3 linked regions of the Rhinolophus ferrumequinum genome follow. The protein of the gene in region 3 interacts with the protein of the main gene of each other region in a pairwise test. Links are inferred from orthologs where the notes say so. Each region holds a gene or a part of one and is shown on either strand. Other genes may lie near its edges.

Evidence for each region.
Region 1: the proteins of PPP1CB (region 3) and PPP1R3B interact in a two-hybrid assay, tested with the Homo sapiens proteins (2 studies listed by BioGRID and IntAct). The link is inferred for Rhinolophus ferrumequinum from reciprocal best matches to the Homo sapiens genes PPP1CB and PPP1R3B.
Region 2: the proteins of PPP1CB (region 3) and PPP1R16A interact in binary tests that used the Homo sapiens proteins (3 or more experiments, as listed by UniProt). The two-hybrid records come from large-scale screens. The link is inferred for Rhinolophus ferrumequinum from reciprocal best matches to the Homo sapiens genes PPP1CB and PPP1R16A.

What each region holds. Positions count from the first base shown.
Region 1 is NC_046287.1:68,531,991-68,542,238, forward strand, and holds the start of PPP1R3B (protein phosphatase 1 regulatory subunit 3B), read left to right. Parts: upstream 1-5,877; 5' UTR 5,878-6,084; coding exon 6,085-6,221; intron 6,222-7,099; exon of another isoform or gene 7,100-7,306; intron 7,307-10,248. UniProt on the Homo sapiens protein: Acts as a glycogen-targeting subunit for phosphatase PP1. Facilitates interaction of the PP1 with enzymes of the glycogen metabolism and regulates its activity.
Region 2 is NC_046297.1:73,171,508-73,181,743, forward strand, and holds the start of PPP1R16A (protein phosphatase 1 regulatory subunit 16A), read left to right. Parts: upstream 1-5,865; 5' UTR 5,866-5,999; intron 6,000-10,236. Other genes in the region: kinesin-like protein KIFC2, read left to right, coding at 69-173, 256-377, 482-605, 723-1,196, 1,304-1,555; FOXH1 (forkhead box protein H1), read right to left, coding at 2,338-3,129, 3,241-3,345, 3,674-3,847. UniProt on the Homo sapiens protein: Inhibits protein phosphatase 1 activity toward phosphorylase, myosin light chain and myosin substrates.
Region 3 is NC_046296.1:52,232,213-52,241,909, reverse strand, and holds the start of PPP1CB (serine/threonine-protein phosphatase PP1-beta catalytic subunit), read left to right. Parts: upstream 1-5,505; 5' UTR 5,506-5,640; intron 5,641-5,696; exon of another isoform or gene 5,697-5,882; 5' UTR 5,883-5,970; coding exon 5,971-6,022; intron 6,023-9,697. UniProt on the Homo sapiens protein: Protein phosphatase that associates with over 200 regulatory proteins to form highly specific holoenzymes which dephosphorylate hundreds of biological targets.

The DNA.
Region 1 (10,248 bases), on a different chromosome or scaffold from region 3:
CAAACCTCTTCCAGGTTATAATATGTTTGTTCTCGTAACATATGACTTGGGATTGTCCCTGAAAGTTGATAGGTAATGCTGATCTATAACAAAGAGAAATACTTATTTACTAATCTTAGGAGAGAGAAATTTCTAGATTTCACACGAATAATGACCAAACAAACAAACAAACAAATAAACAAACATAAAAATAGAAAAGGAAGGAAAAGAACCAGGGTGAAAATCAAGGAAGAAAGAAGTAGTTACTACACTTTCGAGTCAATGAGACTTGAGAAAAACAGGAGACAACCGAGCCGAGGAGGGGATTCACATATGAAGATGACCAAAGAATTACCAGAAGAAAATAGGGATGATGCCAAATATCTTTGCTAAGGCTTAATATATGGTTAGATCCATTCCCAAAGCTTAGATGAAAACAATGTCCAAGTCTGGCTTTGTATATTTTATAGTCCTGGCTACCTACCAAGTAAGACTCATCCTCTGGTTAGTTATCAGGTGGTTGTTTCGAGGGAAGTGTAGCTTTATAGCAAAGTTGAGCAGCCTTTATAACGCATGCACTATTGTCCTCTGCTTTTTATAACGCAGTAAGTAAAATAACGATATTAGATAATGGCTCCCTCACTGCACCCCGAGATGTGTGCCTCCTTGGAAACATGAGCAAGGCCAGGGGCAGAGAAGGAATATTCTCAACATGTGGTGACTTCCCCGATGTAACTGCTCGATTTCTAGCTCCAAAACGGCCAGTGGCTCTGTGTGGAGAAATCGTTACCATGAGTTTCGAGAAGGAAGAATGCAGTCTTTAAGTCGTAATTCTCTAGAGGATATCAAATGATCATAAGGGAAACCATGAAGTCAGCTCAGCTTCTGACTCCACATTTCAAAGAAAAAAAAGGAGTGATAGAAAATTAAAGGTTGCTGGAAAACATAGTGGCACACATTTAGAAATCACTGTGCATAAATACTTAGTTTTTTACCTCATCCCTCAAGTGAGTCATTGTTTTCTTAATACAAATTATATCATTGCCTGTTTCTAAGAGTAAGATCCAGGAAGCATTGTAAATATCAGGATAGAACCGGCTGAAATACAATTGTTTACACAAAGCCCTAAAACGCTTGCTGTATCTGAAGCATTTGCTTCCAGGCACGCAGCAGAAACAGCGCAGACCTAAGGGACAAGGCATGCAACAGCCAAGTGGTCTGTCCCAATCCTCAAGGCAGCTCGACATGCTGTTCTCCTCCCCAAAATGCATGCCCCTTGTCATGAAATTCTGGATGCTATACGTTGCATCATATGTATATAGTTACATGTTTAAATATAATTTATGACCACACCAGTCATGAACAGGGGATGAATAACCAAAGAATATAAATATATACTGGTTTCTGCCTAATTCTTTTTAAGCCTGTGGCAAAGCGGTATTCGCTCGTTCCCAGTCTCTCCACATCTTCTCTCTGACCAGCACCACTTAATATCATTTAAGTCAATAATATGGGTTATGAAGTCCCCATTCCTAACACAAATTGGCTATGTACTTTGAGATTCAAAGTTAAAGCAAAAGACAAGGAATGCAGCTATTTTCACCCAGGTACAGAGTATATGACTCATTAGTCAAAATTCTCATTTTTTTTTTTTGTAAGATGAGGTATGTAATTTGCCTAAAGTCCACAAACCAGGACCTTATTAGGATTATTTAACTCTTAATTTTCTCCAGTAGTGGGAATAAAAAGTCAATACTAATCCTTCTGAGAACAATTTGGTAATATAAATCAAAAGTCTAAAGAAGGTCTATATTCTATGGGAAATAGGGTTATAAGAAATAATCAGGGTTCTAATCAAGATGGCGGAGTATGTAAATGCTGTGCTCACCTCCTCCCATGACCACATCAAAATTACAACTAAATTAGAGAACAATCAACGGGGAGAACTATCTGAAGACTAGCTGAACAGAACTCCTATAACTAAGGATATAAAGGAGAAGCCATGTCAAGACTAAAAAATTCTGAAGTTTACTCTCCTTCCCCCATGCTCCAAAAAATATAAAGATGCTTATCAAAGTGTATTTACAGTACAGAAAATTTGGGAAAAGAAATCTAAGTGCCCCACAATAAGAAAAGTTAAAGTATGTTCTCTTTGTATGAAGGAGTAGTATGCGGTCATTAAAAAGTATGTCCCAAAATTTATAATAATACTAACATACTCAAAATGAGAAGCAATCATGAGTTTAAAAATTCAGAAATTAAATTTTATATGTACTATGGTTGTGATACTATAATGTTTATACATAGAATAAATACTGGGGAAAAAAGACAGTGAATTATACTGGTAGTTATTGCTGGGTGGTGCTCATCTCTACATTTTTCTGTATTTTCCACAATGTTGACAATGATCTTGTATTCGTTTTATAGTCATAAAAATAATTTAAAAATACAAATGAAAGATATCATACCAGTTTTGTACAAAGCACTGCACAAGGTATGAAGCTGTGAAATAAATGCTGCTCTGTATATGTAGCTTTTAAAAGAGTGGTCCCTAGATCAACCTCACTCAGGAACTCAAAAGCTCTCAACAGTGAGGAAAATGCCCAGCTGGACTCTCAAAGCTTTGATGTGTAAACCACTTAAAGTCTTCTCCCATGCTAAGGACCCATCCTCCATAGACAGAGGAGCTTACAGAATCCCTCGGTTGGTATTCACCTGACTATCCCATAAGACATGATCTAGCAAGTCACTTTCTATCAAATCTGAAAGAGGGGCAGAGGGCCCCAGGTAACCTGATGCGCCCAGAACAAGTCCGTAGCTCTGACAGGTGCAAACAACTCCACTCGTCTAAATATAAACTCAGGCAGTTTGGAAACAGTCTTCCCCCTTTCTATTCTCATCAGGCACAAGAATGTTCTCTTCTTTAGTTCTGACTCTTGGTGCTGGTTATTTTTATTTAGATTCGCTCTGCAATACTTTTTATTCAAAGAGAAGCAATGTTATAACTGTAAAAAAGAAAAAAGCTTTCTCTTCTAAAATCGTGGATGAAGATATGACCTCGGTTTGGGCTGTTTGTGAAACGTGTTGAGAAGGAGAAAAATCATTTACAATATTTTTTAAAGCTTTCTGAATGAGCAAAAAGTTAACGTTAAGACATGCATAAAGCAACACTGTCTAATATTAAAGCCAGGAAGAGGACTTAATTTTTAATCAGCAGAGTAGAAATTCTTTGTGGGAACGTAGAGAACTCTGCACCTTTGCACCAATTCCTGCCATCCTCTCTCCTGTCACACTGTCACACCTCTAAACTCTAACTCCCCCTTCAGGACACTGCTCCGTGGTCACTTGTCCAGTAGCCTTTTGGGACTTGCCCCACTCCCCACCCCCACCTCCACAGCCACACATGTGCAGTCTTCCTCTTAGCTCCCCAAACACAGAGGTTTACCTTCCATATATTTATCCCACATCATTATTTAACCTAAGAGCTTCTCGAGAGTAAGATTATATTTCATTTTTCCATTTCCAGCACCTACACAGGTTTACAGTAGTTACTCAACGTATTGTTGAATGAATGAACAAATGGTTACCAGAGGACTGAAGGAGTCACTGACGAGCCCATATGCAAGGAAGAAGACAGTGCTACCACTAATGGACACAAAAAAGGAAAAGTTTATGGGAAAATGATAATTAGCTATGCTCAGCCACTGCCAATCTTTTAGGTTTAGTTAGGGGGAGGGAGGAGGGCTGATTCATTAAATGAAATTTGTAACTAAAATACCAGGTATTATAAAAGAAACTTGGTATGCATTGACTAAAGGGTTGAAATTGTCCATTTTTACTTTCTGCTATAAAATGAGAGGGTGAGGCTAGATCTTGTCCAAGGACCAGACCAGCTGTCAGGTTCTGGGGCTCTGGGCCTGCTATGAATTCTGCTGGAACAGTCCTCCAGAGCTTGCACCCCAGTTCTATTCTGATCGCAAAAGAGACTGTGCTCTTTTCAAACTCATAGACGCCACACTCCTACCTACCAAGGCTGTGGTGTGCCACAACTAAGTTTAGCCCCACACTCCAGGTCTGAAATAGTCACCTAAACCACAGGGGAAATTATTACCCATGGTTTCCTCGATCTATGTAAGGAAGATGCTTCCAAACCCTCATGCCATAAAGTTGTATTTACTTGTCCCAACTTCTGCCCAGCTTGGTTCAGATCACCCTTTGCCTGGACACATTTTGCAAGACCTATTGGCTCTTTATCTGCCCACTCCTGCAGCATGCTCACTACACTTGAGAAACGGAGCCAACACTTGGCTTAATAAATCTTCAATGTACTCATCAGCTAATAAAAGGGGAGTTAGAATTGGGAAAGGGAATATTGCATAGAAACTTTACTTGCCAACCACCTACCAACAGTTGATTTCACAGGTGGTCCTTTATCAGATTTGCCTATTGAGAGAGAAGGAAGAGGACTACCGACCGTCCTTCACACACGGAGACTACGTATGTCTGGGGAAGCTCTCTAAGCTGGAGGCCCGTATTAGATCATTGTAACCGACTAGAGTTTTTAGTCTTAGATGCTTAGATTAATTTGATTCTTCTCAGAAGGTGCTGCACTTTAATGAAAATGAAAATAATAGCTAATGTTTTTTCCTCCACTCTCCTTTCTATAACCAGTGTTTTAATGTTTGTGTGTTCTTTATAAAAGTTAGATGTGATTCATAATCAAAATCTGTTTTCAATATTGGTATGTATGTAAACATGATAATGCAGCCATTTTTATACATGAGTATAAATACAATAGTATTTTTAAAAGTAAAAAAAATAAAATAGAATCTGCTCTTATAGCCCTTTAAGCAGAAATTTCCAAATACCATATTCAACATGATGAATTTTCATATCGCTAAATGTTTCCAGTGCAAAGGACTGGCTTTTACTCCTAGATTAGGTCCTTCATGCATTTTGTTATTATTACTGTTAAAGAGAACTTTTTTTAAAAAAATAAAATGATAGTAACAGAAGATGGTAAGGTTTTGTTCTAATGTGTTCACTCCGCACTTTAAAAAGCTGGCAATCCTATATCAACTTCCAAAATTCATTAAAATTAGAAAACTGGGATCCTCCTCCTTAAAGTGACTAGCTCAAGGCTGATCACAAAGGAGATCATATATATGACTTTATAAAGATATATTTAAATTGATCTCATAGGAAAGGAAGAGCTTCTGGTCTCTTCTAAGCTCACCATTCTCTACAGACCTCATGATGTATCCTAGAGATCACAGAGGCCCTGTTAGATCCAGGTCTTTTTTTTTTTTTTAACAGATTCAAGTCCTTTAAAATATACCTACATGATAAACCCTCAACTACATATATGCTGTACTCTGTGAGATGGGTATTGGTCCTTTGCCCCAATAGCAACTTTCTAAAAAGAATTTTACTGTATTCCTTTCACAGTAACACCTGGACCTTGACTGCACAAAACAAGCGAACGATAATTGTTTTGACACTATCTCGGGAGCTGGGAACACCTATCCCGGAGAGACGGCCGCCTACATCGGAGAGAAACACAAGTATTCTCTCAGGGCTTCTCCAGGGTCCGCAGGTGGTAGGGGAGGTCATTTTCATGTGGGAACCCCCCAACTAAAGTGTAGATGAAAGTGGGGCCAGCGGGACAATACAGGAGGGCTTTGCCGGCTAGGGCTTTGCGTACGTAGCGGGACGCTTGTGTCCAGGTCTCGCTGTAATGGGATGCTGTTCTGTAGGAAAGTGCCTCTGCTCCCTGGCGCCCGTCCCTGGGCTCCTGATGAAATAATGACCTGCCGCCCTTCCCAGCCCCTGGACTGCGGCCCTATCACTCCCGGCTCTCAGCCGATCACGTGGAGGAGCGGTGCTCTCCAGGACCGCGGCTCCACCGCCATTGGTCCACAGCTCTCGTCCCGGGCACGCCCATTGGCTGCGGGGGGCGTTCACGTGAAAGGGGGTCTGGGATGGCATCCCAAGAAGGGAGAGGTGGCCAAAAAGTTAAAGGGAGCAGCGCGGCGGTGAGTAGCCCGACTCCCGGGTAGCGGACCGCAGGGAGGAGGCAAGCGGGCTGCTGTTGCGCACGGACGGATGCGGCTGCCAGCGGAGGGCGCGGACCTGAGTCCTGGCCCGCGCTCCTGCTGTCGCCCCCGCTGCCCCTGCTATCCCCGCGCGGATGCTGCCGCGGGCTGGCGCGTTTGCACTTCGGGGCTTATGAACTCTACCAGGTACGTCCTCCCCAAGCCCTGGAGTCCGAGTGCGGGACCGCGGAAACCGCGATGAGGGGCGCGCAGTGAAGACCCTCTTTGGTTCCTGCCATCTACACTTTCTCCGTCCAACTTGCAGTTGTACTCCAGGAGTGGAACACTCTAGACTGGTTCCAGGAAGCTGTTGCTTCCACGTGGGAAGAGCAATTAATTCAGGGACGAGTGGTGGGATGGGCCCCACGTGTTCCACCGAGATGCGGTCGGGGCCGCTAGGGGGCCGGGGGAAGGGGGGAAGGGTCTGGGGCTGGGACCCCAGATACCGTTGCTCCCTGTTGTCCTTGGTTCGAACCTGGCACAACGCGTTTCCAGCCTGGGGCCTGACACTTCTGGAGGGTGTCTCCGGAGTTGGGCGGTGGTCTGGAGCACAAGGAAAAGTTGCTTCGACTCTCTCCCGGCCTTGGTTTCCCCATAAACCTCAAGGGAACACCTAGTCTCTCAGGCCCCCGAAGGCGATGGGACCTAGAGCGCCACGATCGCCGTGGGCTCCAGGAGCCGGGTCACCCCCAGTCCCCAGACTGGGGCTGTCCTGGGTCGGCAGGGACGAGGCGGCCCAGCCCCACGGGGACGTGCGGCGCCGCTCCGACTGGTGTAATAACGTGGACTCCACTTCCTACTCCTACACCTTCTCCTCCTCCTCCTCCGGGAACCGGATTTAGTCCGGTCGCGGCGTCCTCCCCTGCCACCTCCCTCCAGGCTCTCCGATGCAGGGAACGAGCTGGAGAGAGAGCTGCCCCGCGGCCCCAAAGATTGGTGCCGGACCTGGAGAAGGAGGCTCGCGGAGGGGTTGGGGGCGGGGTGCAGCCAGAGAGGGGCCGGGTCAGAGAGGGGGCCGGGTCAGAGTGATCTATGGGATCTTCCAGCCTGGACACTCAGGCTTGCCCCTGGCACTGTGTTCATGCCATCCTTTTGAACACGGAGAAGGGCGTATGGATTAGAGGGCCCAAAACGACATGCTAGAAGATTTGGGGCCCGTCATGGCATTATTTCCTGCAGAAGAAGAGAAAATTGAGGGAAGACTACTTGGGGACTTGAAGCGGTGCTAGAAGGTGTGGTGGGATCCGGTGGGTTGTGTGGCCCCGCCTCCTTGGGAGACCTAGGGTCCAGGAGAAGAGAGCATTAGGGCTTTGGGCTGGGGTGCAGAGGAAAAGAGGAAATGGTTCATTTGGCAGGGTTGTCCCGGAGCCAAGATTGAAGCAAGCCAGCCGTAGGCCTTCCCACAAAAGTAAAGTTGAGGTATTTAGGGAAAGTTAGTGGGAAGAGAAAAACCATCAGGTATTATGAGCAACCAGAAATGTCAGAGCTAATAGGGACCTCGGAGGAGAAAGCTCAAGCCCAGAGAGGTTGAGTGACCTGCACCAAGTGGCTCAGCTAGGTGGAGGCATGCGCAAGCCAGTGCTCTGTTTCACGTTGGACATTTTTAGATAGCAGGGACTGTGCCATTTTAACCTATCTCTTTTCTATAATATGCAGCCCCATCCACAGATGATTATCTCAAAGATGTTTTAGATGATGGTGACAGAATAGAGGAGTACAAGTGGCTTTTAAGACTGTGAATAAGGGCCCCATTGTCTGAGTACAAAGGGGAAAATGTCAACTTTATTCATACTGTGTCAACCAAACCTTTGGGAGGGGATAAAAGAATGCTGAAGGGGTAGATGGCCATGTCTTCAAAAAATAATCTGGTTGTGACTGCTTATCTAGTGTAGTTTCAGTGTTCCTGGGGAGTGTGTGTGTGTGTGTGTGTGTGTGTGTGTGTTGGGGGTTATTGGTGTATCTTATTTTTCTGTCTTTGTTTATCAAAGTACAAGAGAATGGAAGGGGAAATGTTTTGGTCTCAATACAAAAAAGAAAATAAAATAATTTCCTATGAAAGGCACAGCCAGAAAGTAGCAGCTCAGCTGCCTGAAACTATGAAGGTCATAGGGTTATTTTCTGTACAAGCCTATATAGTTTTCACAAGAAAAAGCACCATGACCTCTAGCCCTGGCCAGCTGTCTTGAGATGGTGTGTTATTTGTCACTGGTGGAACAAGGAAAGATTTATGCAAAACTATCCATTTTCTCTCTAATTTTCATGGAGTGTTAGAGTTGTCCTCTTTTGACCAGGAACGCTGCAATCTAGCCTTGGGCATGGCCCAATCCCTCATGGGGCCACACTCATCTCCGGCATCTATTTGGAAGCAAAGTTTTTGAGCATCCATACTGGTCTGAGGAACAGCTACTCATATTCTCATGATCTTGTCCTTCAGCGAACTGGTATCCAGGTCCTTTGTCATGCTCTGCTGGGTAAAATGTGTGTCCATATCTTCTCATTCTCTTTTTTACCTTGGCCCGCCTTGGGGACTCATATTCCCTGGTACGGGCAAGGGAAAGGGCTGGAGTAGCAAGAGAGTCTGTCAGGAGAGGGGGCCGGAGGTACAGCCTGGTGCATTCTGCGTTGGAACTGATCATTTTCCTGCCATTTGAAGATAAAATGTCTGTCTAAGTGCTTTCCTTTCAGGAACTTAGGCAACTATTACCTTGTCCGTCTCTGTTGCTAGGTCTCCTTCTGGGTGAGGGTCATCCCTGTCACAGGCCATGGGGGAGTTCCTGAGAAGAGGGTCAAGAAGGCCTACAACAAACCAGCATTTGGGTGACCGATTCTCGGAGAATGTCCCAGTTCATACAAACTGGAATCTATATGTGAGAATAGGCGAAGTGGTTGACAGATCCTAGATTGAGGCCCCAGAGGTTAATGTCCTCACCGCCAGTTCTGGTGACACACAAAGTAAAGGGATTCTAAGCAGGACTTGCTTGTGCAATGCCCCAGGGCAGTAACCCTTAGGCCTCCAGGTGATTAACCGTACTTTTTGTCTTTCATGGAAGAATGTTGCAAAATCGATGAGGCTCTAGAAAGTGCCAGTGGAATTGTTTAATTAGCTCTGGCTCTGACTAGAACCTCACCTCCCGACCTCCAGTTCCACTTGTACTCACAGCTTCGTGGTAAAAGGGATCTTGGGCAAATTTACAGCACTGGGTCCAAACAGTGTAACTTTACCAAGTCTTCAACTAAGTCTTTTTAACCTGCAGGATTAGAACTTGAGGGTGACTTTGGTCAGCTGCAAATGTGCAGATTCTTTAACTGATTCCCTTATTTTAGAATTCTGTTTCCACAATATCTTGAGAGCTTCCCAGCCTTTTTCTAATGAGCTGTTTTAACGTGCAGGAAAGCACGTATGAGGCTGGTTTGCAGGCTAGTTGGCCAGGCAGAGAGAACTTGCAGTTGACCTTGTGCTGACTCAGGCAAGGAGGAAGCTGCCGTGGCCCAAGGAGGAAGCCCTCCTCCCTCAGTTCACACGGACGGACGTTGTCAAGGTTGTCAAGCGTGGACAGAGTGGGAGGGGCCGGGATGCAAGGCTTTGCTCCCTGTTTGATTGTTCATCTGTATTTAATAAATGATAAACAAACTATCTGTGTTAAAGTTAGAGCTGAAGGTGTAATTCTAGTACATTCTAATGAAGGTTGGCAATGGACAGGAAAAACAAAAATTCAAGTTTATGTGGTAAGTTTAGGGTTTTTTTTTTACATTGAACTCGTTGGTGAACCCACTGACTTTCTTAGAAGCTATCTTGCCCAATTCAGTCAGAACTCTCCTTTCCAGAACAATTGCACAAGTATAAGAACAGATCACAGAAAGCAAATTTGTCCCTAAAATTTCCCCTTGTTTGACTTTGTAAAAGAGGAAACAGTAAGACAAATATCCTTTAAAATGAATATTTAGATAACTATGGCTATAAATCATTGTTTTATTTGTCTCTGAATGGGTGCGTTTCTCCAACTGCTTTTCATCACTAAGTGATTCCTGCATCCCAGGGAAATGCTATACTTCTTTTGGAAAATAGAATCAAATCCATTATGTCTTTGTCCTTTCTCATTTTTTTCAATGTATTTGATTAACCAAAATCAGAAGGTGAAAAGGAGAAACTATTTGTTGGACCAAACCAGTGGTC
Region 2 (10,236 bases), on a different chromosome or scaffold from region 3:
GAAATGAAGTCTATTCACACCTTGCCCCAGGCTCCAAAGCTCAGGACCCCCTCCCCCCACACCTCTAGGTCTTCAGGGAGTTGGAGCCCTCTGTGCTGTCCTGCCTCCAAGGCTACAGCGTCTGCATTTTCACCTATGGCCAGACTGGGACCGGGAAGACCTACAGCATGGAGGTGGGAAGAGGGGAATCTGGGTGGCTCCTGGGGCCAGGGGCTGGGACGTGAGCACAGATGTGGCACCCCACCTCGTCCCCAGGGCCCACCTGAGAACCCCGGCATAGCTCCTAGGGCACTGCAGTCACTGTTCCGGGAGATGAGGGCTGGAGGGCAGCACCGCGTGACTCTCAGCATGGTGGAAATCTACAACGAGGCTGTCAGGTCAGCCATTCCTTGCTGCCTCCTACCAGCCTCTGGCCTCTAGCCCTTCTGCACCGCCCTGTCCTGCAAGAACCCCGGAACCAAGTCCTCCCCTTTCTCACCAGGGACCTCTTAGCCCCGGGGCCTCCCCAGCGCCTGGCTGTGAGGCAGGGCCCAGCAGGCCAGGGGGGAATCCAGGTGGCTGGCCTCACCTACTGGGACGTGCCCAACCTGGAGACGCTGCAGCAGGTAAGGCTGCGCAGGGGGCCGCGCAGACCTCCAAGGCTCTGCCCTGTGCTCGCCCCTAGGGGTGTGGACCCTACAGCAGCACCATGCAGCATGCAAGCCCTTTCCTCGCGTCCTCAGATGCTGAGCCTGGGGAGGAGCAACCGAGCCACTGCGGCCACCGCCATGAACCAGCACAGCTCTCGCTCGCACGCGCTGGTCACGCTGACGCTGCGCGCGGCGTCCCCTCCGCGCGGTTCAGGCACCGCAGGTACCACGGTCCGGGCGCTGCCCTGTGGGGGGCGTCCCTACATCAGAGACCGGAGCTCCCTCCACGTGGGCTCCCCCGCCCCTGCAGGCACACTGCACCTGGTGGACCTGGCTGGATCGGAACGTGCCTGGAAGGCGGGGGCCATCTGCAGGGCACAGGGAGACCCTGACAACGCCCAGCGTCTGCGGGAAGCCCGGACCATCAACCGCTCGCTGCTGGCGCTGGGAGGCGTGATGGCTGCGCTGCGAGCCCACCGGCCACACGTGCCCTTCCGCGACTCGCAGCTCACGCGCCTGCTGCAGCCGGCGCTGGGCCCCGGCACCACCGCGCTGCTGCTGCTGCAGGTGGGGACCGCGGCCCCGGCGTGGGGCGGTGCCCAGGGCCACGGGAGGGCGGTGTGCATGCTAGGCGCCACCCACTCGGGCCCGCCCACCAGAGCCGCTCCCCGCAGATATCCACGCGGCCCGAGGATCTCGGCGAGACCGTGTGCTCTCTCAAGTTCGCCGAGCGAGTGAGCAAAGTGGAGCTGGGGCCGGCCCGGCGCCGCAGGGTCCCGCGCTCTGGGACGCCTTCCTCCCTTAGCACCGACACACCATTCACGGGGACACCCTGCACCCCCACACCGTCCCCTGGCAGCCCAAGCCCCGGCCCCGACAGCTGCTCCAGCTCGGCCCTCGTGCACCCAGAGGACCTGCCCTCATAGTTATGCCCAAAGCGTCGGGTAGCGCCTCTGCCGGCAGAGGCAGCAAAGTCCCTGCACCTCCACAACCTCCTTGACTTGAGCTCCCCTCCCCCGCTCCCGGCGACGAGTGTTCCGCCCCGAGGAACAATTGCCGGCCCCCTCAGCCCAGGCCCTCAGTTCCCTCCTTATCACCATTTGCTGTTATCACAGCACCCGGCAGGGGATCCCAGAGCTGCCACAGTCGCCATCAAAAATCAAGACTTGGCATTAAATGTTGTCTGTTCCTTTACTGTTATCTTCCCCACTACCACCACCAAAACCAGGTATGGTCCCTGTTCCCTATGCCCTTTCCCCCAAAAGGTGCTACCTCCTTCCCAGACAGTTGAGGGAAGCCAGGACTTCAGGCTGGAGCCGCCATTAGGTTCTCCCTCCCCCAGCCCGGAGCCAGGGGAGGGGAGGTGACAGATGGTGATGGATGGATGGATGGATGGATGGATGGATGGACGGAGGGCCAGAGAAGGTGAGACCAGGAAGGGCTACTCTAAGTGGAGCCCCAGTCTTGCCTCTGGGAGTAGGAGAGGCATGGCTGACCATCAGGTCCAGGGTGGTGACCAGAGGGTCACCACAACCCTTTGTGGGGTAGTCCAATAAACATTGTGGACTCTTGGCAGGGCTGGTGCCTGGTATTTCAAGGCTGCTGTGGCCACAGACACCTCTTGGTCCTCTTAGCCTTGGTCCCCCCCCGAACAAGCCACTGGTGGCAGGAGGGAGTGGGAGAGCAAAGCAATCCCTGGCCTGCAGCCTCACAGGCTGTACCAGGAGAGCAGCCAGCCTGGGGTGGGAGCAGCCAGCTCCCGGGGGTGGCTCACCCATACATCGTAGATGCTCTTGTTGGGTGGTACCCCCTGGAAGAGGGCATCTAGGTCCCAGAGCAGTCCTGGGGGGCTGTGGGGTTCAGGAGCCCCCCAGTAGGCTGGGCTGGTTGAGGGTGGGCACTGGGGGCAGGAAGTGGGTGGTAGTGGGGCCAAAGGTATTACCACATTGGGGGTGTATATGGGCAAGTAGGAGGTGGGTAACTGCCCCCAAAGTGAGGTCCTGTGACCCCCACCGGACAGTCCCCCAGGGTCTGGGGTACCCTGCAGTAAGTGGAGAGGCCAGGCTCTTGGCTCAGGGGAGAGGGGCGAGGGCCTGCTGGTTCCCACCTGGGAAGTCTCCCCCTCGGCTCTCATGGTCCCCTGGAGGGGGCAGAGGGGCCACAGAGGCCTCTCAGAGGGCAGGGGTGGTGTGGGCACTACCTCTTCCTTCCTTGGCAGGGAACCGGCCCGATCTGGGCTGTTCCTTGGCGCTCCCTCCCCGGGGTCCCCCAGCAGAGACTTTATGCTGAAGCCCTCGCTGGGCGGCCTGGGAGGTCGGTAGGGCCGGCCATGGAGCACGTAGGGGCCCAGGTCCTTGGCGAAGGCCCCCCGGGTACCCCTGCTCTGCCAGCGCCGGCACAGGGCCGTGTTCTGCAGACGCAGTGCCTCGGCGGGAATCAGGCTCACGTCGACGGCCCAGAAGTTGCCCTTGGCCTTGGGCTTCGCAGGATCCTTGGGCACCTAGGGTGTAGGGGTGCAGGCTTGGTGGGGCCTCGCGACCCGGATACTCGAGATTTCCGCCCCCGCCCTGGCCCCGGCTACGCTCCGACCCCGACCCTCGCCCTGCCCCACCTTGCGGAAGCATCGGTTGGAGGAGAGATTGTGGCGGATGGAATCCTTCCAGCCCTCGTAGTCGTCCCTGAAGAAGGGGAACACGGCCTGGACCTGACGGATGATCTGAAACCATGGGGCGGCGGGCAGGCGCCGTCAGCCCGGGCGCCGATGGGGGCAGCGCCGCCCCTCCCCCACAGCCGGGCTTGAGGCGCCCCTGCGCCGCTCCCCCAACACCTTTGCGCCCGGGAGAAGAGGGCACTTCACCGGGAAGGGTCCTGTCTGAGCATCTCAGCTCTCTCTCGGGGTGCCCAGGTCGGGACTGGACCCACTGGCATAGCTGGCGAGGCCAGGTGGGGGTGGAGATCAGAGCCTGAGCGTCGGAGTAGGTAGGGGACAGGTCTGGGAAAAGGTCCCACCAAGGAGTGTGAGGGACAGCGGGGCACCCTCTCACCTGGGCCAGCTTCAGCCTGCGGGAAGGTGCTGCCTGGATCACCAGGGCAATCATGGCCAAGTAGGTGTAGGGGGGCTTGTCGTGCCGAAGGTATCTCTTCTTCCTCCTCTTTGGGGCCTGGGAGGGTGAGTCCCTCCCGGGATGCCCCAGGCTTGGGTTGCTGCAGGGCCCCATGAAGGGGAGGCCGGCAACGTGGACAGGGGGCTGGCCCGGTGGAGGGCACGGGGAAGTGGGGCAGTAATGGGGAGGCAGAGCCTGGGCCTGAGGCCGGGTGGGGGCAGGCCGGCTGGGCCCTTTATCATTCGGATGGAAGGGGGAGGGGAGGAGAGGCAAAGGGAGGGTGGAATACAGCAGTGGGGGAGGGGAGCATGCAGAGGGCTGCCACAATTAGCAGGTTTCGGTTAATCTGGAAGGGAGGGGCAGGAAAGATTCCAGAGGGGGTTGCAGGCAGCCACCCAGGCCTCATTTCTCGCTCCTGGGCTGCCTTTGCCCCGGCACAAGCTGGAAGAGCCCCTGGAAGGGGCCTGTGACCCATGGTTACTTTATCAGTCTGTCTGGGCTGGGTCCCAGGCTCCCATTTAACAGACAGGAAAGTGATTTGCCCTAGCTGCCAAGGAGGGGTGGAGTCTACCCAGAGTTCAAGGCCAAGCAGCTAGAAGGACTTTAGTGGTGGTCTGGGAGGGCTTCCTGGAGGAAACCTCAGGAACAAAAGATGAACACAGTTGATTCAAGGGATTTTCCCAAGGGGGTCACTGGCCACCTCTCTGGGCCAAGCCTCACGGATACAGATCCATGGGTCATGGTCTCTGCCCAGGAGAACCTTCGAGGACCACCTGGCTCCACCCTGGGTGGGAGTGAGTGCAGGTGTGTTGTGTGTGTGCACAGGGAGGGCTTCCCAGGCAGCCACAGGGCCCTGAATCTTAGTCTAGAGGGAGGGAGATGCTCCCCAGACTGGTGGAAGCTGGCCTCAGTGGAAGAGGAGCACTCTAGGAGAGGTAGTGAAGGCTCAGGCTGGGGAAGCCTGAGGGACCAGTGACCCCTGCTCAGGCCTGGTCAGAGCCTCTGAGGACTTTAGCAGGGAAAGCACTGATCTGAAACTGTGGCCCTAGAAAAACACCTCTGGCAGCTGCCCAGAGACTCACCACACCCTCTTCTGTCCCCTCACCTCCTTCCTGGCTATGGGATCGGTGGCTCTGCCCTTGAGGTCAGTCAAGGCCTGTGCTCTGTACCCTGCCTCAAAGCCCAGATTCCGCCCACACACACACTGGGCAAGTTTGTCCAAGGGATATCAGGCCCAGGGCACTAGCAGTGGTGGCTGGTGTTGGTATCAGGGCCCTCAGAACTGAGGGAGGCTACAGGAGCAGAGATACACTTTATATCACTTTACTCCAATAATCCAGCTTTTCTTGTGCAGCTCCCCCACCCTGTTATACTCTTAGAGTGTTGAAAATCTGCAGCATAGAGTGTGTGCCTCCTCATTCTGAGGCACTGAGGAGGGTGGGTACACTGGAGGAAGGAGCCTGGGGCTGAGATAATGTGTGTTTGTGGGGTACCACTGTTCCCCCACTATCTCAGACTGTCCTTTCAGACTTCACCTGGCTTCCTCTGAACTCCTGTCACCTGCTCTACTCCTTTCTATTCCCAGGTTCTCTAGTTCAGGGGTTGTTGTGTCTCACTAGGCTGTTACTACCTATGGCCTCCTAGCCCCCCTTGGTCAGCAAAGAGGTCTTTTTCTCCTACACGTCTTAAGTCACCCTCTCTCCCCACTGGCCCTCCCTAGCTTCCAGGATAATGCCCAGCTCCTTGGTTTGGCGGTCAAGGACCCTTGTGTTCTCACTACTCATCTCTGACCACACTCCTCATCCCCCGCCCCCGCCCTCTTAAACCATCACCTCTGCTTCCCATTTCCCCCATGCACTGGGTCCTTCCACCTTTGCGCTTGCTGTTCCCTCCGCCCGTCATGCCTTTGCTTTGTCGGGTGAACTCCGGCCCTTCCTTAAAAGCCCAGCATAAATAAATGACCTCCCTCCTGGGAGCCTTTGACTACTTGCCCTTCCCGCCCCACCCGGACCCCATCCACGCCAAGGATGCCCCTGCCAGAGAGAGGCTCACAGGGCACGGTCCGCAGAGACCCACTAGTTGCTCCGGGCAGGCCCCGCCCCCAGCTCCCACGGGGCGCCTCGGCTTCCGGTTCTGGGCCGCGCGGGCCGGAAGTGTAGCGTTGCCATGGCGACGGCCGGGCGCGGGGCCCGCCCCTGCGGCGCCCGCAGGAGCGCGGGGCTGACTGACCGGTGGACCGGATCCGATCGACTGCGCGAGGCGGAAGGTGAGGCTCAGACTTCCGGGGCCTGTGGCGGGAGAGAAGGACGGGTCCGGGGGAGCGAGGAGGCCGGGCTCCGGGGAGGAGAAAGGAGGCCGGGCCCCGGGGGAGAGGAGGCTGGGCCCCAGGGGGGAGAGGAGCCGGGCCCCGGGGGAGAGACGAGGCCTGAGGGGAGGCTGAGCTTAGAGAAAGGAAAAGGGGGGAAGACCAGATTGAGACGGGGAGGAGGAAAGCCCAGATGGGGCGTCCTCAGGAAACACCTGGCCAGCGCGGAGAGGCCAGGGCAGCAGTCTCTCCAGGCCCCGCTCGGACGCGGTGGATGAGGCCCAGGGCAGTAGGTGCGAAGGGTGGAGAACGGCTTCTGGCAGTGACAGCCCGTGAAGGCCACCGGAAGGGCTTCTCGTGGTTTACCTGTATGTGGAACGGTTTGCATTCTTGCAGCCTGTTGGTCGGGCCGGCAGCTCTAGAATGCTCTCCATTTCAGCGGGGAAATGAAGGCCCACAGGGAAGTGACTCGCACGGGCTTTGTGTGGGCTTTGGAGGTGGGCCAGCGGAGAAACCGAACCTGTCTGGGACAAGCTCCTTAGCTTTGCGTCGGTTCAGGTGACCTCACCTGCAGTGGGGATCCCGGGCCCCACCTCACAGATGGGGTCAGGAGGAGAAGTACTCAGGCCCCGTGCTGTGTGGGAGGTGCTCCGTGAGTGGGTTGGGCCCCTCGCTGCCCTGAGGCTGTCAGAGGCCGAGGTGACCAAGGGATTAATTTCCATGGCTGCAGAGAGGGGAGGCGTGTGTGGACTCACTCCAGAGAGAGGCTGGCCCTCCCCAAAGCTCTGGGCCTGCCTTTTCTTCCTGGACCCTTAACTCGGGGGTGGAGGTGGCTGTAGAGGCACCACACTGCTCCCATCTCTGCCTTGGCCTAGCAGTGAGCCTTCCTGGGCATCCGGACCGCCAGGCGCCCCCCGGCAGGACTGGGGTTTCCCTGTGGGACATGTGAAGAGGTCTGGTGCTCCTGACCTTGCTGCCTCGTCCACTTCAGGGGCACCGAGAGAGCCCCCACCTGGGGCCGCGTTTCCTGAAGGGCTGGTAGCTGCCTGAAGGAGCCTGCACATTGGCCAGCCCTGTGTTCTTCCTTGTGATGGGTGCGTGTGGCTCTGAGTGGCCAGCTGCCCCCCTCCCCGACCTGAGCTCCTCTCAGAGGCGGGCGAGGAAGCATGAGCAGGTCCCGGCCTCCCTCCTGATGCCCAGGCTGGATTTCCTCCCTGTTGGCTGGAGCCCCTTCCCCTGGCCGGTCCTGGCCAGTCCTGGCCTCTCCCTCACCTGCTTGGGGCATGCCTGAGCTGGCCAGCACCTAGGAAAGAGGTTACCTGTGGGCTCAACGTTGGGGTCTGTGAGGGATTTCTGAACCCCTGGTCCCACTGCATGCAGTTTGGGAATCTGAGTCTTGGGTGAACCCTTGGTGACCCAGCATATTGTGTCTGCCCCAAGAGTGCCCGCCCTGGTGCCTCTGCCAGAGTCCACCCGTTAGCCAGAGCAAGACATCTGGGTGGCACTTCCAAACTTTTCCCTCACCTCCAGGTTCTCCCAAAACTTCCTTCTAAATGTCCCTGATCCGGGCCATTCCTACCCATCCTTCAGCCAAAAAGCCTGGTGGCAGCAGCTGCCCCTGGCTGTCTTCTTGGCTCTTGCCAGCCCATTGCCTTCATCTTCCTCACGTGAGCGAGTGAGTGACCTGAAATGCAAATCTGATTCTCGTATCTCCTCCATGAAATCCTTCCCCACAGATGTGAGGATAACATGTTCCTGTCTTTGCAGAGTAGCCCCCCAAACTCTGTCCCGACCACCTTTGCAGGCGTGACACCACGCACCACCATACTGAACCCCTGCATGGTGGTGGAAGGGAGAGCGAAACTACCCCTACCCTTTCCAGGCTCTGGCCTTGGGCAAGGCCTTGCCAGCACAGCAGGCTGAGAAAGGAGGGCGAAGAGGTGCAGGAAAGCTTAGTTCTACAGACGCCCACCTCGGTGTCAAACATGAGAGAGGGTGGGGAGATAGAGGGTGACGGTAACCACAGAAGACCTCTGAGGAGGTAACACTCAAATTATGATCTGAGTTACAAAGAGGGGAGAGCGATCCTAAGATCTGGTGGGAGAACTTTCCCAACAGAAGAAACGGCCAGTGCCAAGCAGGAGCCGTGCTGAGGACAGCGTCGCACAACCCTGATGGAGCAGGGGTCACACGCGGTCTGTGAAGGGCCACATAGTAAACATATAGACCCCGAAATTTCAATCTCATGTCATTTTCATGTGCCACAAAATATTCTTTTTTGGTTTTTCCTGACAATTAAAACGTGTAGAAGCCATTCTTCACTCATGGGCCACATAAAAACGGGTGGCAGGCCGTAGTTCGCTAACCCCTGTGCTAGACACTGAAAATGCTGCATGTCTAACTCTTCAAATCCTCTAAGACCCGTTTAGGGAAGGTACTGTTATCATTCCATTTGTAGATGAGGAAACTGAGGCCGAAGAGGTAAGAAACTTGACCGATCTCCTCAGCTTCTGCCCCTGCTGGACCTGGAATGACTTCTGCGGGCCAGGGAGTGAGTGCTGGGTGGGACATGGATGGGAGGGCCAGGAGACACAGGCTCGGACCATGCAGGGTATTAGAAGCTAGGGCAAGACTTTGGAATTATATACTGTTACTGTTTTACAGCAAACTTATTTGAGGTATAATTTACATATAATAAAATGTACTTGTTTTAAGTGTATAGTTGGGTGGGTTCTGCTAGATGTGTACACCCTGGTAAACACCAGAATCCTGATGTAGAACCTTCCGGTCACCCCCAGAAGCTTCCTCATTGCCTCGTGGTCGGTCCGTCCTCCCTCCACCCGGCCCCAGCAGGCACTGCTTTCTGTTTCTGTAGATTCAGTGACTCTTTTAGAATTTCACATGAATGAATCCTAAGAATGAACACTTTTTTTTTTTAAGTGTGTTTTTCCAGGACCCATCAGCTCCAAGTCAAGTAGTTGTTTCAGTCTAGTTGTGGAGGGCGCAGCTCACAGTGGCCCATGTGGGCATTGAACTGGCAACCTTGTTGTTAAGAGCACCGTGCTCTAACCAACTGAGCTGACCGGCCTCCCCGAATGAACACTTTTGTGTCTGACTTCTTTCACGTGACAGAGTGTTTTGGAAATTGATATGGTTGCCTTGTTCAGTGGTTCTCTTATTTGCCAAATGGTTCGGTGTTGTGTTGTGTGGGTATCCCACCATTTAATCGATGCACACACCCGTCGGTGGACCCTTCAGTTCTTTCCCATTTTTGGCTGTTATAAGTAAGGCTGCTGTAAACATTCATACACAAACGTCTTTGTGTGGACATATGCTTTGTTTCTCTTGCCTTTATTTCTTGCAATGATAGAAACGATGAAGTGTGTGCTTGACTTCACTAGAAAGTGCCAAACGATTTGCCAAAATGCCTTCGCGTTCATTTTACATGCCCGGTTCCATATTCTCTTTAACTCAGTATTGTCATCTTTTTCAAGTTCAACCATTTTCTCATGTGTGTGGTGTGGCTTACCATGGTTTTAATTTGCATTTTCCAAACGGATGGCGTGAAGCATCTTTTCATGAGCTTATTTTATTGGCCATTTGTATATCTTCTCTGTGAAGTGTCTGTTCAAATCTTTTACCCTTAGAAAAATGTTTTTTTTGTCTAGGAAGTTTTAAGAGTTCCTTGTGGTATGTGTGCGCTCAGGCTGTGGCTGGGCTCGGAATCTGCACCACTGTCTTCAGTAGCAGATGTTTTGGTTGTGACAAAGTCCGTTATGGTTTGTGCTTTCTTGTGTGGTGTGAGTATAGGTCAAGGATCATTGTTTTCATGTGGACATCCAGTCATCCCAGAGCCACCTGTGGAGATCACCCTCTCCCCATTGTTTCAACTCAACACCCTTGTTGAAAATCAATTGACAGTACATGTGGGGGTGTCTTTCTGGACTCTACTTTAAGTAGTCATCGACCGTATGCTAACATCACACAGATTTTGCACTGTAACTGTACGATAAGTCTCAAGATCAAGTACTGTAAATTCTCTAACTTGGTTTCTCTTTTTCAAATCATTTGGACTCTTCAAGATATTATGCAGTTCTATATAAATTTTAGAGTTAGCTTGTCAATTTCCACAAAAAGGCTTACCGGGATTTTGATTGGGATTGTATTGAAGCTAAGCTCTACTTGAGAAGAACTGACA
Region 3 (9,697 bases):
GTTAGCAACTAGAAAGTTGTTCTTTAAGCTAGTGGCACTGTAAAAACACACTGGGGCCCACCAGGAAACTGTCATGCTGATCATGGACCAGGCTGTTCTGGAAGACCAGAGGATGAACGTAGGATGAGGCTGGCATGGGGGTGCAGGGTCCTAAGGATTCCCGCACATGAAGGAGAAGGGATGACAAGAATAGGTCCTTACACAGTGTGATGGCTTTCAAGTAAAAATGAGAGAGAGAGAGAGAGAAAGAGAGAGAGAGAGAGAGAGAGAGAGAGAGAGAGAGAGAGAGAAAAGAAAGAGAGAGAGAGAGAGAGAGAGATATCTGGGCTAAGAATTCTAGATTTAAGCACTAGTTTTGCTATTAAATGAATGCAATTTAACCTTCCTTGATCTCAACTGCACAGTGAATAACTTGAAAAGTAATTGTATCTTTTTAAAAAAGTTCCCAGCACATGTGTTCACTCCCCTTTTTCCATCTGCCCTTACATTCCTTATCTTTTGGTTTGGAGCCAACTTCTTCCTGGCAACCAAACCCCCAGACACCATGAACTACCCTCAGCCTCCCCACCCCCCTTATTGGATCCAAGGTATCAGAGCCTCCCTCACTGTCCAAGCTACCAGACTAGTCTTTGTTTCACATTTAGTACCCAGTCTGCCTGTGAATTAGAACTAGAATTGTATTCCGACCTGTTGCTCAGGGTGGTGGCAAACACTGATAGATGGTTTCTGCCATGCCAAATTAGAATCCTCAATGGCTTCTCCCCATAAACTTTGTTATAATTGGTGGTTAGAGTCCATATTACCATGGATACTCTTCTACAGTTACATTCAGGATTAAATTGATTTTGCAGACTGATCTGGGAATTTAACCACCATTTGTACCACAGTCTCTGTGGGAAAATATACTCTGTGTTCCAAACAATTGACCTTTTGGAGTTGATCCAGTTCCTAAGTTGGGGACGGCCTGTACAATATTATGTTACATTTTGGGTTTCATTTGTGTTTCCCAGAATCAAAGACTTGTTAAAGCTGGAAGAAACTTTGATCATTTATCAATGGACTAATTTTGTAGGTAATAAAGCCAAGGTTCAGAAAGATAGAGAGATTTCTTTACAGTTATTCAATTATTCTGGTCTCCTACCTCTGAGCCAATGCTTTTCCCACTCTCCAAATTGTTTTGTGGTCTTTTCCTCACATAGTCATTAAATCACTTAAAAGTTGGGAAGATCACGTCTTCCCCAGCATGGAATCAAACATACTGAATGTTTCATAAATACTTAATTGGTTCATTATTCACTTTGGTTTCAAGGTCTAGTCACTGTAAGTTTCTTTAAATAACAAATACCATTGGGGCATTTCAATTAAGAATTTATTTACAATAGACTGGATTTGTTTTAAATCAACATTTGAATAATAATTCATAAATAGTCTATTTAACCAGTGTTTCCTACCTAAAAGGACTACAGTGTTGGATGTCATTGCAATAAATATTTTTCACAGCTCACAGACACATTTGGTTTTAGTTTTAGTTTTACATGCCATTAATTTTAATGTGGTCTTAAGGAAGAGATTACTCATTTTATAACTACATTAGAAAACTTAATAAGGCTTTGTTTGCTTGTTTACTAAAACCAATTGAAACAGAGTCTTATGAAACAATTCAGAAATAAACTTTCTCCAACTGAAAAGGTGCCTCATGCATAATTTGGATATACTGTATGAGGAGAGCAACCATCATAAGAAACAAAGTATTTAAATTGTTTTATTTGAAACACAATGTCACATTTTATATACTTTTCTTCACCAACAAACACCTTTAGTTACTTCCTGGTATCTGTTTGAAAGAGCAGGATGGGAAAGCACTGAAAGAGAAACAATCTCATGTATGTAGATGACATGGTTTTATTGTAACAAACTAGGAATGACCTAAATAGACAGCTGGCCCTGTAATCTAATTACAAGAAAAAGAAGGGCCATGGATCAACTCTGCAAAAATTTAACAGTCATCCTTTGTGGTAGCTGCCCATCAATTTTAATTGCCTTATAGTTAACAGTTTTATACAGCCAGTTAACTCCTTCCAATTATCAGGCATTTATTTTGTAGTCATTTTATCTTGAAGGATACACTAGAGAACTTAAGAGATGATGCTCCAGTGAGAGTCTGTGTGTACGTTGGGAAGTCAGAAGCGTGAGGGTGGGGGTGGGGAGGAAGCAGGCTGCTATTATTGGCTAAGGGAGAAGAGGCTTTTGGTTATATCTGGCTTTATAATTTTGGGGGCAAAAATAACTGAGGAGGGGCGGCCAGGTGGCTCAGTTGATTAGAGTGCAGGCTCCCAACAACAAGGTGGCCGGTTCAATTCACGCATGGGATTGTGGGCAGCGTCCCCTGCAACTAAGACTGAAAATGGCGACTGGACTTGGAGCTGAGCTGTGCCCTCCACAACTAGATTGAAGGACGACTCGGAGCTGATGGGAATTGGAGAAACACACTGTTCCCCAATATTCCCCAATTAAAAATAAAATAACTGAGGACATGCTTTATGACCTAGCTGATAACTTCGGCAGTTGATGATTTTCTCATATGTGTATTGAAATGAAAGCAAAACTAAATCTTAAGGAAAAATCTTCGCACTGCCCAGGTATACCACCTAGGCCTGGTTCTGTATTGAGGGATAGGCTTCTACTGAAGCATATATCCTTGTCTGGTTTCCCAATATCCTGGAATTGAGTTGACTACAAAAGCCAAAGACATTTGATATACAGAATGGCTGCCCTCCAGGTATATCTGGTAAAATTTAGAACTTACTGCCACTTAAGACTTATTAAAGACTTGATTAAGAGGTATCACATTTATGGAAGGACAACCCAATGAATATCCATCCATGCATTTATAAGCTATCTTGGATTAGTCAGGCAGCAAAGAGCTATCACTATCACAACCTCCACATTTTGCTATTAAAACCTACTCACTTTCACACTATATTGGCCACTGACCAATATTGAGAGGCATATAAAACATCCCTATGAAAGTCTGTGCTGTGTTTACAAAAAATAAATCATGAGACTATTGTTCCCTGTGTTCCAAAGTGCCTTCTTTGAGGACAATCCCTAGAAACATCTCTCTGGTCTCAGCACAGTGATGGTTGGGTTCCTCTAAGCACTGGTCTGTCTTTAGCTAATGGGCACTGGCATGTCCCAGACATTTCTTGTTATTAAGTTCAAATAAGATCATGATTTTATGAAGACCCACCATCAAGATTTCCCAAGCCCCTTGCAATCAGGACATCCAATTTCCCTGCACAGACATTTCTAAAATTACCCAAGGATATTGACATGCGGTAAATGTTTAACAACCAGCGTCCTGGTGAAAAAACTATAGATTTGTAGCATGTGCTAATTTCCTTGGTGTAACTACTCCCACCATGGTCAACATGATGTCACTGAACAAGGAGATGGAAAGAGATGCATAGTAGCATATGATTATATAGTATTCCCACAATAGAGATAAAACAGATGCAAACAACTTCCATACATAATAGTAAAATGTAGCAACATAAATAGGATGTGATGTTTTGAGTAATCATTACCTTTGTTTTTAGTACTGTATAATTTATTTGTAAGTCCATATAATTTAATTTTAAAATAATAGCTCTGTTTAACAATTGGCTTGCAAAATTCCTAAAAGTTTTAACAAGTGGTTCTCATGAGCCAAAGTAAACTGGCTCCAACACACCACTATCTAAAGCCCACTGGATTGGGAGTCCCAGATAATAGTTTGCCCTTCCACCTGTTAGATTAACAATCCCAGTGTAACAAGGAGCAATACCTTACCCTGATCCCTTTTCTAAGTCTTTTCACATGTCCAAAAAGAGTAGGAGGCAGTTTCCTATATGCATGCAATCAAAACCACTACTTGCCAGTCTGCTGCTCCACGGTCTGCTGGTCTCCAGGCTTGAGTGCTCACCATGGTGCCTGGTCCAGCCAATGTCTCTTACACCACTGGCAGCCTTCTTTTGTCTCTGCTTCTAAACTGTTGGCTTCCCTAACTGATGACCTCCACTCTGCCCTTAGGTCAGTGCTCACACTTCAGTCAAGAGCCTCCTCAGTGTATCTGCCACACGAGGCTTCTCTCCCCTTGGTACCTACTCACCTACTCTTGAACCTTACTGTGGTCCCAACTGCCACTATTGCGGCTGCTACCTGCAGCCTCCGGATGTCCACCCCTTACTTCTTCCTCTGTCCTCAATTTCTTATCCAAAGTACAGATAAACTTTGAACACTGAGTTTCACGTAAATGTGGCACCAAAACTTATTTATCAAAGTAGGATAAAATGGAAATGAAGCATGACCTCAATTTTATAAAAGATATATATATATATATATATATATATATATATATATATATATTTAAGTAGTTTTTCAGAATTTATATACCTACCTCATAGGGCTGGTGTTAAGGATTAAATGAGATAACACATGTTAACATCTAAAACAGTGCCAGAGCACATACAGGGATCTCAATAAATGGTAGCTATTATGAATGATACATGAGCAGAAGCACTGCCTTGAGCTTCGGATAGCATCTTGTCTGAGTTTCTGGACAAAGTTGTACTTGAGGAATGAGTAAAAGGCCTTTGGTCTGACCAACTCCTAGAAAAGGGCAAAAAGTCGGACTCATCTAGATCCTTTGCATGCCCACTATCCCTCCTGCCTTTCTAGAGGCAGACTACTGTGGTGGAAAGAACAGCTGGACAAACAACCTTTCTGAGCCTTCGTATTTCTTTGTCCCTCTCTTCTATGCGCCAGACAGTTGGTGGGTTTACCCTGGAGGTCACAGTCAAGTGCAGGAGATAAATGCACGATCACAAGGTGGATGATTAAGCAATCTAACGGAGGGATGGACAAAAACGCACTGTGGAAAAATAGTATCCACGCAGCGGAAGATGTAAGATATGTGAAAGCAAACTATAGAACGCAGAAAGTGGTACTCATGTAAAATATTATTGCTGATGCGGAGCCTACTGTAACTATGTCATCCAAGGACAATTGGGCAACTAGCCTTGTGGAACGGTATCGTATAAAACTTATTAACAATGCCACAGTTTTCCCGCAGAGTAACCCCTTTTTGCTTTCCAAACGCGTAAACCCGAGTTTCAAACACGGGTAACGCCGTCCGCGTTTCCCGGTTAACGGAAACAGGAAGAATCGCTTGCAAAACCAGGGAATGACGCCGAGAAAAAAAAATTGAAGCGGGAAGGGAACAACTATGCCTCCGGAGCTCCCGGTCCTGGGCAGCTGGGAAGCGGGAAGGTCAGAGCTGCCTACGCGCGCTCCGTGTAATGGGAGCTCCGGCGCCGCAAACCCCAGGAGCCTCCGGGGCGCCTGCGCTGCCTCGTCGATTCGGCGCAGTGGAAGCGGCCAGAGAGGGCGACGCACCTGCGCGAAGGCGGCGGCGGCGGTGGCGGCGGCAGCGGTGGCGGCGGCGGGAGAACCGAGTCCAGTGCGATTGCGCGAAGGCCGGGGAGGCGAGGGGTGGCCGCGAAGGCGTGCGCCGTGCGCCTGCGCGGGCTGCGTGGCGCGGTGGCCGGGCCGGGCGGTGTGGAGTGAGTGTCGCTGCGGTTGAGGCCGTCGGCGGCGCTGGTGAGCTTTGCGGAGTTGGGCGGTGCCGTGAAGGAGAAGGAGGAGGAGGAGGAGGAGGAGGAGGTGGCGGCTGGGTCTGACGCGGCCGGGTTCTTGGGGGCTCCGCTTGCTTGTTTATTTATTTATTTACTGTGTGTACCTCCGAGTGCGCGCGCTCCACTACTTGGTGGGGAGGGGGTGGGGGGAGGGCCCGGGGGAAAGGGGGAGCTGGAACCGGGGTCGAAACGCCGCGTGACTTGTAGGTGAGGGAACGCCGAGCCGTCGCCGCAGCCTCCGCCGCCGAGAAGCCCTTGTTCCCGCTGCTGGGAAGGAGCGTCTGCTGCCGACAAGATGGCGGACGGGGAGCTGAACGTGGACAGTCTCATCACCCGACTGCTGGAGGGTGAGTGGGGGCCCGGCCGGCCGCAGAAAGGGGGCGCCTCCCTAAGTCATTTCCCCTCGGTCGCCGAAACCCGAAGGTACCCCCTTTCCCGCCCTGTGGCGGCCGCCGAGGAGGGTTGCAAAAGGCTGGTTAGCCGGGGGTAGGCAGGGCGAGAGGGGCTGTCCCGGCGGGCAGCCCGGTCGGGCCCTGTGGGCAGTGTCCCCGGACCTTCGGGGACTGGCATGGCGACGCGCCGGCCTGAGGGTGCGAGGAGACCAGGGGTGCTGGATGACCCTTCCCAAGGAGGGTGCCAGGATGCGTGCTCCGTGCATTGTCTATGGAACGTGTATTTCTTCTCTGTTCTTTGTGCATTGCCCTTGGCTGCCTCCTATTCTTGTTCCGTGAGTGAATTTTATAAAAACCTTCTTGAGATGCTTGTTTGATCTGTTCTGCATTTTTATATGATGCTATAGGAGGAACTCTATTTAAGGAGAGGATAACAGCGGGAGTTGAGTGCCTCCCATTATTTTGCTTAAAAAATAGTAAAAAGACTGACGGAGTTGAAGATGCACGCAGGAAATATGGAATACGTAGACAGGTTTGCCGAAGGGATTGGCTTTCAAGTTTGAGAATTTAACAGGTTTGAACAGGATTTAATTTCGGCACAAACTTAGCAAAGGTCTGTTGTAAAGCCTCTCTTGTGTTTTGAAAGTCTTCGCAGCTTTTCAAGTTCCCAGGCCCTTCTGTTTTGAATGGTTTTATGTTGGGGTGAGGGATTGAGAAAAAGAGATGGAGATGCCAAGATATTCAAAGTTAATCGCGGTCTTCTCCCAGTGAATCCCTTCACCCTGAAATTTGCGTCATCACTAATTGCTTTGTGAGAGTGTAGGGAAAAAAATTGAGCCTTAAAAAAATTTTTAGAATCTTTTCTGCCAGAAGTCCAAGGATTACATATGCACTATCTGTTATTATTTGCTTTCAAATTACCTGAAGGTAATTGATACAGTGAAGCAATTTGTACTTAACATTTGGAAAATCATCAGAGATTGTATGATGGGGGGCGGGGCGCTAGTTCCTTCCCTTTTTTTCCCAACCAGTGTCGGTATCTCACAGTTCTGTGTACAAACTACAGTATATTTGCTCCAGATGTGGAGGCCGCCCAGCCGTCTAATACTTAATAAAAAGCAAAGTTTTACCAGGAACTCTTCTTTACCTTTTCCTTTCCTACGAAGTTATTCCTGGGAGGCCCCCTGGTGCCTGCAGTCAGTGTTCACTGCTTACGACTGTGTGTGGGCTTTTAACAGATGTGAACATATTGAGACATTTGCTTTGCCAAAAATTTTATATTGTAATTGTATGTTGTTGTAAGAGGGAAATATAGCTATTTAAAATTTTTAATATCTTGTTAACTTTGGGGAAAGTTTAGGCCCACCATCATTTTTATACATTTTAAACTAGGCTTGTAAATGTCAATGTTTTTTAAAATTTCAACTTCTCCACTTTTGTTTTCCATATACCTACGTATTTATATACTTTATATGCATAAAACATAGTAGACTTATGTGTTTTAAAATGTTTGATCTGAAACCGTGTAAGGCAAATGCACCGTTTTATGATTATAGATAACTTAAGAATCTTCACTAGTGGATTATTCAAGGTTATTGGGAAAAAATTGGCTAAGTGAGTGATTCCATTTGTTTTTGTGAATTCAAATTAAATGTTTGGTGGTTCTGGTTTTAAACAATCATTTTTCCTTTTTTTTTTTTTTTTTTTTTTTTTTTAGAATCCTAGTCTAGACATTTTCTGTTTTTAAATTAGCAAACATTTATTGACCTGCTTTGTGCCAGTCACCAGGAATCTGAAGATAAGATGCAGTCCCTTCACTTGACCTCCCAGTATAAACAAGTGATTTTCAGGCTTTTTTAGCCTCCTCTCTTTTGATATGTTCAACACACTCCCATCAGTAGAGTTTCATTACTTCTTAATCCCAGGAATTATATTTAGTTTAACAGTGCCTCCCTGAGATTCTTAAATTCTCCAGGCTCCTCCTCTCCTTTCCCCTTTCAAAATCTAAACCGGTTAAAAGGCATCCAAAACAGACTTGGAGTTTCTAATAAGTAATTATTTTTAGTCTTCAAATGAAATTTTTTATGTCTGCCTTGATGTTCAGTGATGTTACATGCTAGTTAAATTTAACTCAAATTCAAGTGATGGCATTTTGTAAAAGTTGCCTAGCAGAATAGCTACAGTGAAAAATTCGTTAGTATTAGAGGAACATACAAGTTACAATTGGGCACAGTTTCTCTACATAGGGGGAGTGGAAATTAGCAGTGCTTGATCTCACTTTAAAATGTTGATTTGAGTTCCACAATATTGTTGATTCTGTATTTTTTATTATATTAAATTGCCAGTCAGCTGTAGCACTTTCGGTAAATATATTTTATGAGTTTTGCTTTGTGTTTTTGTGTGTGTGTGTGTGTGTGTGGGCATATCATTGATGCCATGTTTACGAAGTACATAGAATATTTTAACAATTTTATTATTTAAATAAAACAATATACTGATGTTTGGATGGTGCATATTCCTTCAGTATATTTTCTTGGGTTAAGTTTCACTTAGAACTATAACCAAAGACGTCTGCCACTCTATCCCTTGTAGTGAGTGACCCTGCTACCACATTCTTGTGGCTTATTATACGTAGTATTCTTGACTGATTGTTTAAATTGAAGCTAGTTCCTATGGTATCCTGGAAAATCCAGTAAAAACTTTTTACTTTGATGTGAGTTCCAAAAGGAGTTAGGATGGCAGTGAGAGTATAGCAGAGTCACCTGTGACTTGATTCAAACTATAAATGTTGACTGTATTTTGGAGGAGGTGAAATGGAAGAAGCTTCCCGCTAATTAAGACAGTGGTAGCTCTGTTCCCAACACTGACTTGATCCAAGTGTTTAAAAACTGGGCTGTACCAGTTAATAATTAACATATGCCTATTATATATGTCATATGTCATATATATATATATATACACACACACACACGTATATATAAAACTGTGTCTGGGACTTGCTTTTTTTCTGATTATACATGTAAGCATTCTTGTAGAAAATTTGTGAAACAGAGAAGTATAAATGGAAAAAAGAAAACCCAATTCTTCCATAATTCCACAATCCAGAGATAACTCTTGTTGAAATTTTGATACATTTTTATTTATATACATTGCACCATTAGAGTATAGCTTTACAGGTCTATTTTTCAAGTATTGTGAACATTTTTCTTTGTTACTGAAATGTCTTCACAAATACTTCAAAAGCCATTTGCTGTTATGATAGAAAAGTTTCCTAAAATTTTTTTCTTTTAGTTTGGTACAAAGCTAAGCTTGAATATTACATCATGAATTGTAGAATATTAGCACTCTGTATACTTCTGTGGCAGAATATGATTGTTTTTATATTTTTGGCTCACTAATAGCTTTATGAAAATCTTGGGATGTGTGTGTGCTTGTTTTTTAATCCATTTTTCACTTTATCTCAACCTGTCGGATATCTGAATTGGTGGAACTGCTGTGATCATTTTGTGTACATTTCCCTTCCTTTCTTATGGATCATGTTCTCTTACAATTTACTTAGGCTAACAGATTAAGCAAATAGGAAGTTTTCCTCTTATGTGTCTTTTTGAAGATTAAAAAACGGAAAGGATT